Linked DNA regions of Rattus norvegicus. The protein of the gene in region 1 interacts with the protein of each later gene in a biochemical or structural test. Links are inferred from orthologs where the notes say so. Each region holds a gene or a part of one and is shown on either strand. Other genes may lie near its edges.

Evidence for each region.
Region 2: the proteins of Nmur1 (region 1) and Nmu form a complex in vitro, tested with the Homo sapiens proteins (2 studies listed by BioGRID). The link is inferred for Rattus norvegicus from reciprocal best matches to the Homo sapiens genes NMUR1 and NMU.

The regions. Positions count from the first base shown.
Region 1 is NC_086027.1:94,480,517-94,487,738, reverse strand, and holds Nmur1 (neuromedin-U receptor 1), read left to right. Parts: upstream 1-3,085; 5' UTR 3,086-3,116; coding exon 3,117-3,119; intron 3,120-4,488; coding exon 4,489-5,344; intron 5,345-5,678; coding exon 5,679-6,058; 3' UTR 6,059-6,501; downstream 6,502-7,222. UniProt on the Homo sapiens protein: Receptor for the neuromedin-U and neuromedin-S neuropeptides.
Region 2 is NC_086032.1:32,196,472-32,203,833, forward strand, and holds the start of Nmu (neuromedin-U precursor), read left to right. Parts: upstream 1-2,471; 5' UTR 2,472-2,583; coding exon 2,584-2,701; intron 2,702-7,362.

The DNA of each region.
Region 1 (7,222 bases):
CCCCCCCATCTCAAAACCAAACCAATCTCGCCCACCACCATCACCACCACCACCACCACCACCGTCACCGTGTGAAACTGTTGTACACACACTTCATCTTCAGGGCAGCTGGGAGGAGTGAGTAACTGCCGTCTGCTACTGAAACCAAGCTGCTTGTGAGTCTGCTATTGTGGCCATGATAGGTCCGAATGGACCAGGAAAGGGTTTAACGTCCTGGTTCTCCGGTGTGGCTATCCCTTGTAGTTTTGTGAATGGTTTCTTCTGAGTTTGAACATCTGAGAAGAAATTTACTCTGTTCCTTGAAGGTTGGTGCTTTCCTGGGCTTCTCCTGAGCATTTTTGAAAAATGGTCTCATTTACCTCACAAACCTGTCAGGAAGAGCCCCCCTCCTCCCACAACTCAGCCACACACACACACCAAACAAACAAACAGACAGCACACCTATTAGATCCATGATGCCACCATGGCTATTCACCACTCCCTCCGACTTGGGTGTCTTTGATGACACCTTGAAGCCCCTGGGCAGCATCAACATCTATAGCCTTGCATGGCTGTTTGACTCTGGGCTATCTGATATCTGGAGACAGGATCCTATCTGGTAAGGCAACTGTTTTCTTCCACTCCAGAAGGCCAGAAGCCCCAGTCCCACGCACCCCATATGACTAGAGTACAGAGCCAGGATGGATTTTTATCTGGGCGTAATGTAAAAAATTAAAAGAGAAAATGAAGCACTAAGACACACACAGAAAATCCCTGTGAACAAACAAAGTCTGAGGCCTGGTCTGGGGGGAGGGTAGGGAGGAAGGAGTCATAGTAGGAAGGTAGGGGTGGGGTAAAGAGGTAATGATGAGAGTAAGGGGCTAGGAGAGGGGGTAGGGAGGTAGGGGTGGGATTTTATTCCAAAATCTGACCTGGATTGTAACTTTGGGCATTCATGTATCAGAAGATCCCAAAAGGGGCATTCAGGATGCATATGCCTGAGGTCTGCTGTATGTAGAGACTTAGACTCAAGGGTCAGCCATATTGCCCTGGATAAGTAGGTGCCAAGAGAGCCTTGTGGATAGCCTTTTAGAGCTGGCTCCAGGCCCAGAGTGCCATGAGATATAGTCCCAGGATCACAGAGATCCTGGCATTTTCTGTTTGCCCCAGTGTGAGATGCCAAATGTCCTCCCACTTCGAGTAGAGTTGAGCCTAGTGTACACACTGAGCCCCAAGAGAAGGAAAGGTCACACTTTCTGTCCCTCCAACTCCAGAGGGGTGCGGGTTTTGTTTTGTTCATTTGTTTAGTCGTGTGTTCTGTCCCGTCCCCCTTCCCCCTCCCTACCCATCTTTCAAGATATGGTTCTTTGTGTACTCTTGTCTGTCTTGGAACTCACTATGCAGACCAGGCTGCTGGCCTCAAACCTAGATATCTGCTTGCCTCTGCCTCCCGAGTGCTGGGGCTAAAGGTGTGCGCCAACACTGCCCTCTACCAGGCTTACTTGCCTTCTTTTATTCATAAGCAATTGGGAGCAGGAGAGGAGGTCAGCCTGGAGGCTGAGGTGGGTTCTACTTCAGACCTGAGCTAAGGAAGGCCCCCCCCGCCCCCCGCCCTGTGGTTCTCAGGAAGAGTTGGAGGGCTATGAGCTATGCACTCACTTCAGCTCCAGGAGCCCTACGCATGCACCAAGACTTGACATAGCCTGGTCTACACTGATAGCCACCGACCGCCATGCTCAAGAAATGGATATGCACCCACAAAATCCAAAGAGGCTGCCTTAGGGCTGAGTAGGTAGGAGCAGGTGCTACTGGTTCTGCGGAACACCCTGCCATGTGTTCTCAAGCTTGGATCCTGACCGGGACCCTGGGCAGAGTGTAAACAGAGGCTACTACCGTGAGAACTGAGGGGCCTTCTTTTCAGGGCTGTCCTTTAGCAGGATGGCTGAAGATGCTGAGTGAATGGCACAGCCAGCGCTAGGAATGTAATTTGGTGTGAGCCATCTGTCTTCTGTAGGTCATTCTATAGGGAACCATGTCATTCCCCATCCTTCATGGGGTCTGAACGTTTTCAAAAGGCTCACAGGGAGGTGTGGGGAGGGGGGTCTAGAGGTGGGAGCACAGTCAGAAGTGCTCCTTGAACTCTGGGAGGCCTTGGTGAGCTGGTTTTTGAGCCTTGCCATGACTGAACTAGTCCCGGTTGGTCCATCTGCAACTAAGTAGGAAGCTTTCAAAATTCTTTCTCCCAAGGGCTCTGAAGAACAAGTGCCCCTGAGTTCCCCACAATCTCCTTAGCCAGGACTATTTGTTTACAAATGAAGTTCTTAAGAAGCCAGGCATTGAGCGGGGCGGGGTAAAAGAGACATTGTCTTGAGTGAGGGGATGCTGGGAAGCTGACAGAACGTTGAAGACAGAAATGCAGACGGTGAGTGTCAGCTATGACCCCTGTCTAGGCTTTTGTGTTCTCTTTTGAGTGAAGAAGTGGGTCCCGACAATGCTCAGGAAAAGGACCGGTGTGGGAGGAGGTGCTGGAAGGAGAGAGGAGGGTGATTTCCTTGGAGGAGACTAGTGCCTGGACACGGGGTGGGTGGGTGAGGCGCTGGAAACCCCTAATGAGACTGTGGTATGGGGGTGAGGGGGATTGCTATCCTGTGAGTAAACAAGTGGAGTCACGGAGATGAGACTCTCTGGACTGCTGACTTTCAGGGGCTGAAAGGGTGCGTATAAGAAAGTGTCTGAAAATGTGGGTCAGAAAGAATTGCGGGACACAGAACAAGTCGCGCTCAAGTCAGCACGCTGCAGGTTGGCGGGGACAGCACGTTAGACCCAAGTCTCATGGACTTCCTCTCTCAGTGTCATTTTTTTCTCATCTGTAAAATGGGATTGTTGTCCAGAAAAAGGAGACATTCTCAGCTTCGGGTGAGTCCAACAGCTTCCTAATATGGTTTGAATGCAGGTAGGGTCTCTTGTGAATGGTCTTAAGTGCTCCAAGCTCCGGGGTCAGCATTGCCCCCTAGTGGCGATTTTGTGAACAGGCGGAGCAACGGGCAGGCAGGGAGGGCAGCTGCTGTCAGGTCGGCTTCAGTTCAGCATCTGTCGGTGGGAGCCAGGGCGCAGTCAGGACTTCCCCTGCAGAAGGCATGGTAGGTGAGCGGGATATGAGCCCTGACAGGCACGGCTCTCAGGGTGAGATGGGTGGAAACACTCTGTGGGGTACTTGGGGGTTGTTGGAGAGACCTCTCAGCCAGTCAGTTTATTTCTCTTTTTTCTGATGATTGTTGTCCCGGCCCTGCTGCCTGCTGACCCTTTCTCTAGGCACGGGGCACCTCTCTTGAACCTGGGCTGTCACCTGCCCACTCCCAGCTCCTCTCCTTGAGAGTTCCGAGTAGTGAGAACCCTAGGTACAAAGAATATAAAATAATTAAACTGGGAATGATTGAGGTGACAGAAAACAGAACCAAATTTGGGTCAAAGTACAGTTTTTAACTCCTTCACTTAACCCCTACGGTGGCTTTCTCTTCAGCCCAAGGTCATGCACACCTTTCTGCATGTCAGGTCTGCCCTGTGTCAATGGTTTTTGAGGATTAAATACCTGGACCTTTCCACCTGGAGTTGGGAAGGTCAGGTCTGCCCTGGCAGTTACTTTAGGAATCCTGGCTCTTCAAAGACCAAGCAATACTGCTGTTGCACCCACACCAAGTGGCTGTCCTGAAGTCTATCTTGAAAGGGAAACACCTGAAGGAGATAGCCAAGCCTGTTCTTGGAAAAAACTGTCGTTTATTCAAAGGTTTCAGGAGCTCCTGATATTCTCAGCAAAGGTCCAATCTTAACATTTAAAAATTTGTGTGTGTGTGTGTGTGTGCGTGCGCGCACGCAATTGTGTATAGAGGCTAGAGGATAACTCTTTTCGTTGTTTTTTTTATTGTTTTGGGTTTGTTGTTGTTGAAGACACGGTCTCTCTCCCTCTGTAGTCCTTGATGTCCTGGGACTTGCTCTGTAGCCTAGGCTAGCCTCAAACTCACAGAGACCTGCCTGCCTATGCTTCCCGAGTGTTGGGATTAAAACTGTGCACCACCACCGCCCAGACAATTTTTTTAAAGATTTTATTTTATTATATATAAGTACACTGTAGCTGTCCTCAGACATACGAGAGGAGGACATCAGATCCCATTACAGGTGGTTGTGAGCCACCATGTGGTTGCTAGGATTTGAACTCAGGACCTCTAGAAGAGCAGTTCATGCTCTTAACCACTGAGTCATTTCTCCAGCCCCCAATTTTATTATTTTTAAAGTTTGCACTTCGAGTACTTTGCAGTTGAAATGCACTTTATAGAGGGTGGCAGATGCTTTTCTTTCTCAGTGGCATGTGACTTATCAGCCCTCTACCAGGTGGCACTTTCAGTTGACATGACTTAGGACAGAGCTGGGATTACCTAAGTGACTTCTGGGCTTCTTCTCCCCTCTATTCTACATGCTCCTCCCTGCCTCAATTGTTCCTTCTTTCCTGGACAGCTCTCCCCAAATGCTTCAACAGGCCTCTTGTCCTGCAATGACAGTGAGTTCAAGGAGCACTTTGACCTTGAGGACCTGAACCTTACTCATGAGGACCTGAGGCTGAAGTACTTGGGGCCACAGCAGGTAAAACAATTTTTGCCCATCTGTGTCACGTACCTGTTGATCTTCGTAGTGGGCACTCTGGGCAACGGGTTGACCTGCACCGTCATCCTGCGCCAGAAGGCAATGCACACGCCCACCAACTTCTACCTCTTCAGTCTCGCGGTGTCCGATTTGCTGGTGCTCCTGGTGGGCTTGCCCCTGGAACTTTATGAGATGCAGCACAATTACCCATTCCAGCTGGGTGCAGGTGGCTGTTACTTCCGGATACTGCTTTTGGAGACTGTCTGCCTGGCTTCAGTGCTCAATGTCACAGCCCTAAGTGTGGAGCGTTATGTGGCCGTGGTGCACCCACTCCAAGCCAAGTCTGTGATGACACGGACCCATGTGCGCCGCATGTTGGGAGCCATCTGGGTCTTCGCTATTCTCTTCTCTCTGCCCAACACCAGCTTACATGGCCTCAGTCCACTCTATGTACCCTGCCGGGGGCCGGTGCCCGATTCAGTTACGTGTACGCTGGTGCGTCCCCAGTTCTTCTACAAGTTGGTAATACAGACGACCATACTGCTCTTCTTCTGTCTGCCCATGGTCACCATCAGTGTGCTGTACCTGCTCATTGGGCTGAGGCTGCGGAGGGAGAGGATATTGCTCCAAGAGGAGGTCAAGGGCAGGATATCTGCAGCAGCCAGGCAGGCCTCCCACAGAAGTATTCAGCTTCGAGATAGGGAACGCAGACAGGTGACCAAGATGCTAAGTAAGTGCCACTGTTAAGGAGGAAGCTCCACTGAGCTAACTCCCAGTCTGGGGAAGGAATTGAGCTTCCAGGGGGTTTTGTTTGTTTGCCTGTTATTTTGCTTTTGTTTTTCTGAGAAGGGGTTTCTTTGTGTGGCTCTGGCTGTCCTGGAACTCGCTATGTAGACCAGGCTGACTTTGAACTCAGCGATTCACCTGCCTCTGCCTCCAAAGTGCTGGGATTACTACCACCTGGCTCTCCTGCCTGCTTTTCAAGGATGGGAGGATGGTGAGCTGGAGAAGCAAACTCTAAACAGGACACAGATCAGATCGGGCTCTCTTCTCTGTTTTTGCAGTTGCTCTGGTTATAGTATTTGGCACCTGCTGGGTTCCATTCCATGCTGACCGTCTCATGTGGAGTATGGTGTCCCATTGGACTGACGGCCTGCGCCTGGCCTTCCAGTCTGTGCACCTTGCTTCTGGTGTCTTCTTGTACCTCGGCTCAGCGGCTAACCCGGTGCTCTACAACCTCATGTCCACTCGCTTCCGAGAGTCCTTCCGGGAAACCCTGGGCCTTGGGACACGGTGCTGTCATCGCCACCAACCGCGTCACGACTCCCATAGCCACCTTAGGTTGACCACAGTCAGCACCCTGTGTGACAGGAACAGCAGGGATGTACCCCTGGCTGAGAACAGGGATCCAGGGTGTGAGCAAGAGACAGACCCTCCTGAATAAAATCCTGTGGCCTCACCCACAGGGCCAGAGGGCCTCAGACACTCCGGGGGCTACTGGGATAAGCTTAGAAAGGGATTTCTGCCCTGCCACATATTTGAGTGTTGAGGGAAACAGCAAGAAAAAGAGAATTGAACCCCAGTTGCCAAAGACTTGCGTTAAAGGCCTGAAAAGGTGACTCTGCAGTTAAGAAAGCTTGTAGCTCATCCAGAGGACCCGAGTTCAGGTCCCAGCACCCACATGGCAGCTTACAACCACCTGTAACTTCAGCGCTAGGCCCTCTGACACTCTCTCTTGGCTTCTGAAGGCATCTACCACATGCACATGGCACATAGCACACACCCATATATTAAAAAGACCCGGGATTGGGGATTTAGCTCAGTGGTAGAGTGCTTGCCTAACAAGCGCAAGGCCCTGGGTTCGGTCCCCAGCTCTGAAAAAAAAAAGAAAAGAAAAAAGAAAAACCCACATTGATGGGCTCAGTGGTTAAGAGCACTGACTGCTCTTCCAGAGGTCCTGAGTTCAAATCCCAGCAACCACATGATAGCTCACAACCATCTGTAACGAGATCTGAAGCCCTCTTCTGGTGTGTCTGAAGACAGCTACAGTGTACGTATATATAATAAATACATACATAAATAAATCTTAAAAAAAAAAGACCCACATTGAACCAGATATATGCTGTATGTTCCTCCAAACCCATCACAGTTACATAGGGCTTAGCCATTATTCCCCCGGGGATCCCTCTTTCCTCTCAAGCTCATACATGTTTCCATTGGAAACCTACCTGTCATTCTAGTAGTTTCTGAACTTCCATAGGCTCTCCAGCCCTTGCACTATACTTAAGACGGTCTTCCCACCATGACCTTTCCTGGCACTCCTTCTGCACTGAGATCTGGGCCTGATCAAGCTGCCAGGTGGGCAGGGGTTCCAGGGGACCTGAATGTGATCTCTGCCTTTGTCACCATGTTGCTTTGTGGCAACAAGAAAATCACCCTGGCTCTCTAAGAGGCCTTGGTTCCTTGCTCGCCCATGTCACCTTCTGAAGGAACCTTGCTGTGTCGTCTGTGTGTACCACAATGGCTTCGGCTTATCTGCATCACTCCCAGACCCCACTTTCTCTCTGACCTTCTCATGGTCCTGCTCCAAGCTGTCAAGGGCAGGTCC
Region 2 (7,362 bases), on another chromosome or scaffold:
TTGGATTCATATTAAAGTTGATAACATTTTAGTTCTAAGCTGCAAAGATTGCCCATATTCAGCCTGTCCTCATACTTAGTTCTGACTTCTTTCCTTGTTAGAAATTGAAATTATACACACACACACACACACACACACACACACACACACACACACACATATATATATATATATATATATATATATATATATATATATATAGAGAGAGAGAGAGAGAGAGAGAGAGAGAGAGACCTTCCATTTAAACATTTATTCCTGATCTTTGCTCCTAAGGAAATAAGGAACCTAACTGCCCTTTGTCTTAATTTCCATGTCTCAGAATGACATGACCTGAGAGGCTGTTTCCTTAAACACATCTCCAAAAACATAAACTCATATAAAGATAGCAAGAAGTCAGGAGGAAATGTCTGTTGAGTTTAAACCAATAAAGGTTCCACAAGGCTTAAAGTCTCCACTTAAGTCAGTGAGAACGAAAACCAATGAACCAAGTGAAGGAGTAGGCAAAAGAGGTCAGTGGAAGAAGAAACAATGGTGGACAATATGCTTTTCAAAAGATAGGCAGTCTCATTGGCAGACTAGGAACTTCGAAGTACATCCACGGTGAAGTGTCATGCCCTCTGGGCTGGCAGAGATTTTTCTCCATGGACTAGCAGCCCCTGAAACTTCATTCTCTGCTGATGGGAGTCTTAGTATAACCATTTGAAATACTATTTACAATAGAGGCTAACTAGGTCAGCCCCTTTGACTTAGTAATCCCACCCCCGGGTATACACCTCAGAAAACTCTCCCACACATGGACTGGGAACACATTCGAGAACATTCATAGCAGTCCAGCTCAAGTCGTGCATGTGTTTCCTTAGACATTCCTGACACTGAGGGGGGTGGTAAAGGCAATACTGGGCGGTCACGGGAAACCCACACACAGTGGCTGCCAAGACCTGTGATCTCTCAGAGACCTCTGGGAGAAATGAGGCCAGATAACTTTTCTGTCCCCTGACCCCCCTGACCCACCCTTAGGTCCCTTAGATCCAGTGTACCACTTGCATTAATCCATTTATTACTACTTTCGGAGTAAATCAAAAAGGGGAATTTTCAGCCAATACGTTCTCATTCATAATTTTGTCATCCTCGTGTGTTTCTTGTATAAAATTAACTTCAAAACAGTAACCAGTATTCTCTGATCTGCTCATGAGGGTTTCATTCCTACTATTCTCTGTATTTCCAATTAACAGCCTATTCTCCCTGGAATTGCACAGCAATTGGGCATGACTTGGGGGTAATTAACCAAAGATTAATTATCATTAGGGAAAGTTCCTTCTACTAAATGGTGATTCCCTCAGAAGACCTGCCTTGCTTATCGTGGGTCACTCATGCATGCCAGAGGCCAGGAAACCCCATTGAGGAAGAAACCTGTGCCCATGCTCCTTCCCGGGCTGAGTTTGACTGGGTTACTCACTTTGTTCGCTAGGTTGTTTTACAAAAGCTTTTCTTCTTTTCTTCCTTCCTTTTTTTCTTATTTAAATGAATTTTTACACTGCAGATATGTCATGAATATTAAATGAAACTGCGCGGGAAAGTCCGTGGTTGCATGACCCCAAAATGCCCCTTTAAAAAACAGCAATGTGCTTCCTTCCTGCCCTTTCCTCCGAGCTCCTCGCCTATCAGAAAGAGGTTAAACAAGATAAGTTGCACTTTTTTTTCTGCAGAAGGAAATTAGAATCGTATTTCTCAGTGTCCTCTTAAGTGTCCCGGAGTGTGGGAATAGCGGACGTGAGGTTGCGAAGGAAATGAGAGAGAAGAGCATCCTTCTGACAGAATGGCCACTTGAGCCTTGGGTGCCCCACAGACAGCCCCCACCTTCTAACCGCTGCAAGTGCACCCAAGCCCTGCTCTTTCCTGACCACCATTTTACTGCATCTCCAGGAATGGTTTTGGACTTTGCAGGTGTTTGGGGGTTTAGATGGCACCGTCTTCACCCACATTGTGGTGGAAGCACTATCACTCTGATGCCCTGGGCACTGTGCATTGAACGGAGCTCACCCAGAGAAGGAAAAGAGGGGTGCTTGGATAGCAGGGGGATTCCTGGCTAGAGGAGCTGCAGGCCGGGAGACTTGCACAAATGGGTTGGCTGGGTATACTGTGGTATCCCGGAGACACAGGAGAGAGTGTAGCCACCACTTAACCACCCTGATCTCAGGCTCTGGAGGCTGACATCCCCTCCGGCTCCCACCCAAGTTCCCCTTCCACAGGTGGGAGTGGACCGCCATGGTTTAATTTCATTCTCCAGCTCAGAGCCGAATGCGTGGTTCCCTGAGTCAGACACCCGGCCAGGGAGCGCGTGTCCTGCGGAGGCGGCAGCAGGTCCGGGTGACGCCAGGGAGCCAGGGGCGGCGAGGTCACGCGTGGAGACTACGCCAGCCTAGCCCACGTGTGCGCCGGATTTAAAAGTTGGTGGCGCGCGGAGATGGTCACTTTGGTGTCTGAGCTCAGCAAGAGGCGCTCGGGGGACGCTGAGGGACAGCTTTAACACCCGCACAACACAGGGTACCTGGTTCCCAGTCCAGAGCTGCTTGGAGGGCAGAGATGTCGCGAGCAGCTAATCGCCGCCCAGGGCTCTCCGCAGGACAATTGGCCGCTGCAACTGCATCTCCTCTCCTGTCACTGCTGCTGCTGCTCGCCTGCTGTGCGGACGCTTGCAGAGGTAAGGTGCAATCATCCTACCTCACAGGGCCCCTCAGGCTGCCGCTGCACTAGTTTCTCCCCGCTACCTTCCTTGTCTCTTCCCTGGGCTTCTAGAATCCACCTCCCACTGAAGCCAGGATCTGAACCAGGACTGCAGGCACAGCTGGCTGTGGAGGGCGCAGGGCAGGCTGTAGACGCCATAGCCGGAGTTTAAAAAAGATTAAAACACTTTCCCTTTCATTGCAGTTATCGGAGGGACTTATGGTTGAAACAAAAGTCTGCTGGTCCTCTTGCCAAGGCAAGATAAAGTTGTGCTGCGCTGCGCCTCCTGGGAGATCAGCTGTCGAGTTACAAAGAGGAGGGACACAGGCTTACAGGGTTTCAGGATTAGAGTTCTCATCACAGAAAGTTAGAGTGAGCTTGCAAGGTTTATCTGGGTTTCCGGAGATGGGCGCTTAAGGTGGCAAGGCAGGTGGGATCCGATGACAACAGGGACCTCCCGAATGTGGCTCCGAGGAAACAGGAAAAGCAAGACCAGGGCGAGAGGTCTCAAGCACGGATGAGTGGCAGAGCAAAATGTGTCCCTTGGTTCTGTAAAGAACGTTTAGTTACCAGGTAACCTGGGGGGCTGTCATTCATTCCTGCCTTCTGAAGGTCCTTGAAATCCCAAACACTGCCTTGTTACAAACGGAATTCTCCAGGTGCTGCTTATTTTTCAGAGGCGTTGAAGATTTAAATATCACGGCCGCAGAGCACTGTGGGAGCTCATGGATGAGCCCTCAATTAGAGCTGGGCAGAGAGGACGAGTATTCTTTTCCTGGCCCGTCTTTGTTGCCTTCATTTCAGTATTTAACTTCTGTTCCTGAGACATTGAAGGGGAACAGGCTCCCTCACCTGAAAGCCAGTTCAAGTAGGACAGCAGCAGGGACAGTATGAGAGCTCATCTGATAAAGGTACCCTACTACCAAGCACAAAGACCGAAGTTCAAGGCTGGGTTTGGTGGAGTACGCCTTTAATGCCAGCACTAGGGAGGATGAGGCAGATGAAGCTCTGTGAGTTCCAGGCCAGCCTGGTCTACAAAGTGAGTCCAGGACAGCAGAGGCTACACAGAGGAACCCTGTCTCAGAGAGAGAGAGAGAGAGAGAGAGAGAGAGAAAGAGAGAGAGAGAGAGAGAGAGAGAGAGAGAGAGAGAGAATGAACGAACTTGAGTTCGATCCCCAGGACCCACAAATTGTCCTCTGAAATAAAGAAAAACCAATAGCAAAATGGCAGCCATGTGATAGCATATTATTCTTGTGCAGTAGTGGTTTACCATGATTTATGCAAGCTAAATTAGCCTTTTCTCTTTTAAATGCTTTATTAGAAACATTAGAATGATAATTTTATTTGCCTTCTTAAGAAAGGAAATAATTGTAAAGGTTATTTTTTTTGTTGTTTTTAAAGAATTCAGGCTTATTTAATACAGTGCAAAGAGATCAGCAGCCTGACAGCCTGGCAGTAGCAGATAAACTTTCTGTAGCCAGATAATCATAGTCTTTACTTGATTTATTTATTTGTTTGTTTATTTAAGATATATGGGCATTTTGTCTGCATGTATGTCTGTCTGTTACATGTGTACCTGGTGTCCAGAGAGGTCAGAAGAGGGTGTGGCCTCCCCTGGGACTAGAGTGACAGCTACCACAAGAGTTCTGAGAAGTAAACCCAGGCTCTTTAGAAGAACATACAGTGCTCTGAGCATTGACCCAGCCCTGATAACCACAGCTTTAAAACAATTGTTTTGTTGGGGTGGGGGGGGAAGCTATGCTTTCTACGCATGTTGCATGCAGAATGTGCTTGTGACGGCTTCTGCAGCTATCGGAATGACTGTCTTGGAGAGCTGGGTGGTCAGTTCCTAAAAAAAAAAAACAAAAAAACAAAAAAACAAAAAAACAAAAAAACAAAAACAAAACAAAACAAAACAAAACAGACGAGCCTTCAGTTTTATTCCCAAAAGAGCAAAACTGCTGACTGATCAACCGAGTCATAAGTAACCTTGATGTTATTCAAGCAAAAGGCTTCCTTCACTCTCAGGAAGCCCCCTGACTGCCGTTTTCTGTCTTTGTTCCCTTTCAGACATGAAAAAACAAATCTCATTTTTAAAAAAATGTAGTGAGGTGTGCTTGTGGGTGGGTGTCAATAGGCAGTGTAGTCTGCCTTAGTTCCAGATCATCTAAATGTGGGGTAGGGACATGCATGGCACACATAAGCAAAAGTTGGAGGTAATCTAACAAGAGCAATCAGTCTACATCTAAAAATGACAAGAACAAATGTCATAAAGCCAGAAGGAAACGAGTGTCAGTAAATGTATCATCCTTAGAAAAAAAAAAAAACAGAAACAAAAACAAACAAAACACCCACAAAAACCAAAACACGAGCAGAGTACAGGAGGGCAGAGATAATGAGATAGAGAAGCCAGTATGCTGGGTGGAAATGCCTCACTCAGAGAACATGTTTGAAGAGGGAAATTTCTCATAAAGACCGACAGAGTTTGGGTGTCCGCCAGTCACTTGATTATGCCTGCAGCCATAAGAGATCATGGCCAAGGCTGATTTAAAGCATGTCTTTCCTGCTAAGATCTTTCATTCATTGACTGATTGGAAACGTTCAGTGACTAGTAACTGATTTCTCAGATGCTAACCCTTCAGGGAAGTGTTTGGGAGAACACTGGTGCCACCTTTCCCATGATCAGGTCTGTTTTTTTACATAATGCTTAAGTAGAAATACCTTGACAGGGATGACCGGAGGCTTTCGTGTTAGTGATGTAGGGGTAAAGGGTGGTGTCGTTTTGGAAAATGTGGATGGTAGTACAAATGCTTGTTTCTTCAAGTGCCGTGTTAGGCTGGCATGCAAGGTGACCTGGGTTGAGTATGGCTTCCAACGCTTTGGGTCTTGCTTCCCAGTGTGTTAACACCAAGAGGTAATGAAACCTTGAGCAGCGGGGTTAGTGGGACATGGGTGGGAGACTGGGGACATGGCCCTCAGAAGGGATTAAAGGTGTTGCCTTGGAAGTCTGGTTCCTTGGAGAGTGGGTTGTTTAAGACTGAGATTGGCTCCTCCCTGATCTTGGGCTTTCTCTCTCATTACACAATTGCTCTAGCTGGTTCTCTATCCACCCCGAGGCCCTCGCCAAGGGTTGGAGCTTAAACTGGCAGTTTCCAAAACTGTGAACTAAATGAATCTCCTTTCTTTACAACTTACCCAGCAGAAACCAGAATACAGCAAGTGGCTTAACAGGAGCATTGTATCAACTCTAGTAGCCAGTCAGAAAAAGGGAGAACCGTGCTCCCTTTGTTGGGATTCAGTCTGATGACAGTGGGTTTCTATCAACTCTAGAGAACCATTTTGATTTGGGGGCTCATCAAACCCCAAGGCTGTGCTTCTGTGTTTTGCATAAGGGCCACTAAAGAGGCTCCACCCTCCCTTTAATTTTGATATTAGTGGTTAGAACTGTTCATCACAATGGCAATTTCAAAGTGGCTCATGGATACTTGAGTCAAACTCCTAAGGGTCTTGGTGGGGAAGTCTGACCCTTATGCCGGACAGCTGAGACGGAAGCTTCATTTTGTCCTGGGGTGGAGAAGGGTTAGGGACATAACACTGCGTTCTTTAAACAGAAATGCCAGGTTTGGAAAGGTTAGCTGAGTGGTTAAAGGCATTTGCCGCTCATACAGAGGACCTGGGTTCTGTCCCCAAGCAACTACATGGGATCTTGTAACTGTGACTCCAATTCCACGGGATTTGATGGCCTCCTTGGGCACAAGACATGAGCAGAGTGCATATGTCCACACGCAGACAAATACTCAGACATAGAAAATGAAGATAAGTAAGTCACAGAAATGCCTGTCAAACAGAATCTCAGAATCAGTAAGATCTCCAGGTACTTGACATGAAGATTTGAAATCACAGATTAATCCTTTCCCACAAGCACAACGAGCTCAGAATGTGACTCATCAGGCAACTGTGGTCTGACATGAATGTTTGTGGTATGGAGAGCAATTTATCACTGAAGAGTGTGAAGAACTTTATAGAAGGGGGTTCCTTACCAGGGGGTTCCCCCAGAGTCTGAACTTAACCAGCCCTTTATATGATGCTTCTAAGTTGTTTGTAAAACTCACAGAAAGGACTGTCACGGTTGTGAAAGGTCTTATGAGTTATGACCCTCTGTTTGAGTTCTAGGGCATACATGCATGCACACATGTGATGTGTGCACACCTGCACCAAAGCGCGTGCGCGTGCGCGCGCACACACACCAGAATTAGGTCAATAACACAGAAAGTGTAGTCCATCATGGTTGTTATTATAACTTAAATTAAATAACAGGAAAAGCCTGCTAGATCTTGAGCCAATGATGAGCACAAAGTAGGAGACTTAGGGAAAATAGGACTCACCGGAATCTTATAGTCAGTCAGAGATATTGGGCAATATTCAATGAAGCCAGGCCCAACAGTCCATATCTGTAATTCCAGCACTCAAGAAACTGAGGCAGGAGGATTGTGATTTTGGGGTAGCTTGGGAGCCGTGGTGACCCTGTCTTTAAAACAAAAGTAATCACGTTTCTTGCTACCTTTTCATTTAGGCAGTCTTAGGCAAAGTAGCGAGCTTCTGCTTTCTTCTCGTGAGTTGGAAATGATGGTGGTGAT